Coturnix japonica: one gene and its partner. The protein of the gene in region 1 purifies or fractionates together with the protein of each later gene. This does not show direct contact. Links are inferred from orthologs where the notes say so. Each region holds a gene or a part of one and is shown on either strand. Other genes may lie near its edges.

What was found. The genes of interacting proteins can lie anywhere in the genome.
Region 2: the proteins of RACGAP1 (region 1) and FAM98A purify together in Homo sapiens (co-immunoprecipitation; 3 studies listed by BioGRID and IntAct, with this or other methods). This does not show direct contact. The link is inferred for Coturnix japonica from reciprocal best matches to the Homo sapiens genes RACGAP1 and FAM98A.

The regions. Positions count from the first base shown.
Region 1 is NC_029544.1:387,983-390,298, reverse strand, and holds part of RACGAP1 (rac GTPase-activating protein 1), read right to left. Parts: coding exon 2,306-2,316; intron 1,887-2,305; coding exon 1,722-1,886; intron 1,348-1,721; coding exon 1,252-1,347; intron 1,032-1,251; coding exon 833-1,031; intron 537-832; coding exon 431-536; intron 274-430; coding exon 141-273; intron 1-140.
Region 2 is NC_029518.1:27,930,516-27,933,181, reverse strand, and holds the end of FAM98A (protein FAM98A), read right to left. Parts: intron 2,419-2,666; coding exon 1,672-2,418; 3' UTR 534-1,671; downstream 1-533. UniProt on the Homo sapiens protein: Positively stimulates PRMT1-induced protein arginine methylation. Involved in skeletal homeostasis. Positively regulates lysosome peripheral distribution and ruffled border formation in osteoclasts.

The sequences.
Region 1 (2,316 bases):
AAACACCATGAGCAGACAACATCAGGAACTGCACACAGCCCTGACACACAGACACTGGGCAGGCATCGCCTCAGCACCCTCAAGGCAGGGTTTCTTAAATGGGATCTATTCACTCACAGCAGCTCTTCCTGCTCACCTACCTTGGGTTGCCGCTTTGTGTCCTGCAGGAGAGTCATCGGGTCAGGATCGGGCACTGCATGAGCAACTATCGTGGGGCCAAAGACTTTGGCTAAGTTGGTAACGTCCATTTTGGTGTCAGGGCTCTGAGCCACTCTATTTTTAAAACAAAGAAACAAAGGAGTTTTCCCCTTTCTCTCACTTAATGCTGCTGGCCCAGGGCTTTTCACTCACAGGCAGCAACGAGAGACTATCAGAGAACACACCAATGGCAATATCCACCTTCCAGAACCATCACTCCATTTGAGCATACCTCTGCAGATGAACCATGAGAAAAGCCAGGGTGTCCCTATTAGCCCGAGGAAGTTCCCCAACTGCTTGGTACATAGCAGCTATGCTGTTGTCCTCATCTAAGATTTCTGAAGGGTAAGAAAAGAAAATTAAAGTATTATTGCAGTATTCCCCTCACAGTAAGAGCTGTAAAAAGTCCCTCTCCCTCCTGGTTATAAGCTCCCCTCATGTTCTGGAAAGAACTTGATTTTCAACAGGAATTTCTCTCCTCTTTTGCTGTGCTATTTTGGAAGAAGAGATCTCTCCAGCAGCCTGAGTATCCGCAGCAAAGCTGCAGTAGGAGCAGCGAGGTCTGCCAGCTCACGTGTGAGATAAGCCTGTCATTAAGCCTTTGGAAAATGTGGATGTCACTTTGTCTCCTTACCTGCAGCTTCCATAAAAGTCTTGTTTAAGCGGAAAGTGAGAAGGGGCTCTTTCAGGTTGCGTAGAAAGTCTTTCAGGAGACCACAGATGGCGTGGATATCATCCACGTTACTGAGCGAGGGAATATTTTTTGATCTGAGAAACTTCTCTTTCAGTTCTCTCACTGTCTTGTCGCAGCCAGATATCCGGTAAAGGCCCTTCTGTTGGCAGAAAGCATTGCTTAGAGGCAGAATACCAGCTACACACAAAGTCTACCTCCTTCTGCTCCCACTTTCTCTCCACACCTGAGCACTCTGCACAGCCACTGCTGCTCACAGCCTCCCACTGAGCAGTGCTGTACACACCATTAGCAAGGGACATTTAGACTACTTGCTTCCTTAACAACCCAACCCATTTCATCAGCACAGTCCTCGTTTTTACCTCATTCAGACCTCTCTGCTCGATCTCATTAACACAGTGCACTATGATGGAAGGGATCATTGGAGGAGCAGAAGGGACAAAGTCCATCAAAGTACCCTAAAAGGCAGAAAAGCAGCAGAAAAAAAGTATGTAAGTCTTCATGACACAGAAAACATTTTCTAAGGAATTCACAGCAAGATTTAAGCTCAAGAATAAGCCTTGTTTCTTCCTCACCAGCCTTGAGCAGCACTACACCCATCAGCACAGTGCTACAGGATCGCCCACACAGAGCTGCTTACATACACAACATAACACCATTGCAACAAGACATCCCTACCAACTTCAGCAAGTTGGTTTGTTTCTTATTATGCAGCTCTGAGCAATGGGAGCTCTTCTGCAGCAGGCAGACTTGTTGGAGCCTAAACACATTCCAGCTCTAACCAAGCATTAGCCTGTTTGGGTCAGCAGCCATACATTTCCCCCAGACTTACCTCCCCAATTTTGACAGGAGGGCCTGTCAAGGTGGGGATGCAGGGAAGAGGACAGCGATCTCGACACTCTGGATGACTGACCACGTGGCAATCTCTGCACTTCAGAGAGATTTTTCCAAATTTCACTCTTTTTCCACAAGGAACACATGACTCTGGTTTGATAACCTAATGATTCAGAGCGTACAGACAGAAAGAAATTAGCGCCTTGTAGTAACTCAGCTTAAATAGCATAACCAGGCAGATAACAGACACAGTGAATATTGATTCGGGATGTAATGGTTGGTAGTTTCTTATCAATAGCTTGCTATCACACACATTTAATGAAAGTAGATACTTTTCAAGTTGTTTTCCCCCTGCCCCCACACATACACACACAGAGGGTGGTGATGCACTGGAACAGGTTGCCCAAGGAGGCTGTGGATGCCCCCATCCCTGCAGGCATTCAAGGCCAGGCTGGATGTGGCTATGGGCAGCCTGGTCTGGTGGTTGGCAACCCTGCACATAGCATGAGGTTCAAAATATATGATCTTTGAGGTCCTTTTCAACCCAGGCCATTCTATGATTCTTCTTGCCTGCAAACCTACCGTCTTTGATA
Region 2 (2,666 bases), on another chromosome or scaffold:
CAAGGCCTGTGTGACACATACTCCTCAAACACTCATATTATTTCAGTAATCCGAGGAACTTCTATCTGCATCCATCTAAATTCAGACCTCTGGATGTTTCAAGTAGCCCAAGGGATTGCCACCAGGTCAGTCTCTACTACAGCTACCCAGGCAAGAACCTAACCTTGCCACAAGCCCAGACAGCATCAGAAGAGCTCCCAGATGCATACCATGTACATGTGTCATGAAGGAGCCATAGCCTGACGATGGCAGAGCTTAATTCACATGGAAACCTCTAGTGAGGGAGACACTACTGCTACACCAAATCAGAGAAGGATGAGGACAAACCCCAAAACAATGAAGATCCATTCCTACCATTCACTCCTGTTCTGACAGCTTTTAAGGAGGCAAAATGCACAGTACGCCTGAGATGATTTGACCGCCTAAGAGATTAAAACAAAAACTAGGTGAAACAATCAGAAATACCTAAAAGAGTTCCCACCTACTGCAGAAACTGCTTTTTACTCATCACCAGAAGGAAAAGAAACCAAAAGCAGAGGGGAACATACAGACACTTTTATTGCTCACCCTTTATACAACAGCAAACCTTCAGCCATTTTCTTTCACAGCTTGACAATGTTTATGTACACAAAAAACCCAGCAAGAAGCATTATGTGGCTTTCAGTAAAGGAAAAAAAACAACAAAACAAACCAAACCCAACACATTAGAACATCAAACTCAGCCAGGCTTTGTTTTCTGCAGCAATAATCAAAGGGCTTCCTCCAGGCAGGAACTAAACTTCCCAGGCCGTAGTGCATTTCTTTAAAAAAGACAACCCCCAAAACAAATTGCCCTGGATCTGCTGAGCCAGTGGTATTAACTTGCAAATAAAATAATTTCACTTTTTGTTTTTTCTTCTAGCTGATTTCAAGTAAAAAATTAAGTTTGAAGGAGGAGCAACTTGTTTTGGATGGATGCAGGTCAGTTTGAATTGCTACACCTAACTACAGGCCTATGTACACTACCAGTTCACAATTTAGCTTAGTTTTAAGTGATCTTTGCAGATTTTGGCGGCGGTAAGTCTTCAGACTTGAGAAGGTGGGAAAAAAATGGTTTGATGTAAGATAAGGCTACCAAATGTGACATCTACAGCAGAGCTCATATAATAGATAACAAACCTGTCTGTTAGAGGGAAGTTGCTCTGTGGGCCTGCATGTGTGTGTAACTTTGATTAAAACAGGACAGCAATCCAAAAGCAATATTCAGCACTGATTTTAGGTCATGTAACTGAACAATGGCTAGGGGATGCAGAAATTCCATTGTATATTGCAACATATAATTGTGACTAGACCAGTCTTCATTTTTCTCAAATCAAAGTGTCAAGCAAAACACAGCAGGTAGTTTTGGAATCAATGTACTTTGAGCAGATGTCAATACAACAACAAAAGAGCATGACTATTAATTTACGATTAGGTGGAGTGCAGTGAGTAGTTATGACACATTCAATTCAGACAGACTGGGGGGGAAGGAAAGTCTACAGAAAGCTGTACTTAGTTCAGCACATAACATCCCACCCCAAAAGATTCTGCCTGACACATACAAACCTGTACTAATTCAAAAGTGATTAAATCAGGACTCTGAAACAAGGTTTTATTATCTGAGCTCTGCTGAAGCAAAAGGTTTTAGCAGCCTCAACTTGTGAAATGTCTTCCTTGTCCAAAACCAGACTGATTATACTGATAGCCTCCATGCTGGAAATGTTGCTCAAATTGCCCACCTTGATTAAAATTCTGTCCACCTCTGCCTCCCCAGCCTCCTCCTTGACCGCCACGGCCACCCCGCCCACCACGGCCACCCCGCCCTCCTCCACGGCCACCCCCTCGGTCACTGTGGGACCCGCCATCTTGGTATCTGTTGTCTTGCTGGTAGCCACCACCTCCTTGGTAGCCACTTCCCGTGTATGAACATGACTGGTAGCCACCATAGCCTCCTCCTTGATAGCCACCGCCACCACCATGGTAGCCACCCGTCTGAAAACCTGCATCTCTGTAATTGCTATCCCTGTAGTTGCCATCCTGGTAGCCACCACCTCCACCATCTGTCCACCCTCCCTGGAGTTTGTTTCCTCTTCCACCTCCTCTGCCACCATGATCATAACCGCCACGTCCTCCTCGCCCTCCTCGATCATGGCCTCCTTGATCATGACCCCCTCGTTCATGACCTCCTCTTCCTCCTCGGTCATGACCACCGTGGCTATGACCTCCATGGTCATAACCTCCTCGCCCTCCATATGAGGATTCATAGCCACCTCTTCCTCCTCGGCCACCACCTTGTTGTGGACCAGCCTCTGGTCTTTTCTGCCAGGGTGGCATCTCAGGAGGTGGTGGTTCAATTTCATTGGGCCTTCCTCCTCTATCAGGTACTCTGCCCATTAGCACCTGTAAAGAGAAAGGAACAACTGTCTTAAGAGTTGTAAGATCTCACAGAAGCAGGGTACTTTGTTAATTTTTGTTAGTCTTGAAGGACACTCAGTACTGATAATGGAATTAAGTTAACAGAATACACATCAGCAGCAGGGCAGTGGGCAGTGCCATATTCCTAGTAAAGCGTATATATGATCTGATTATATTCACATCTGTCTTCCCACTTTCTTTTAAATTTCACGCTCCAACTACACTAAAAAGGT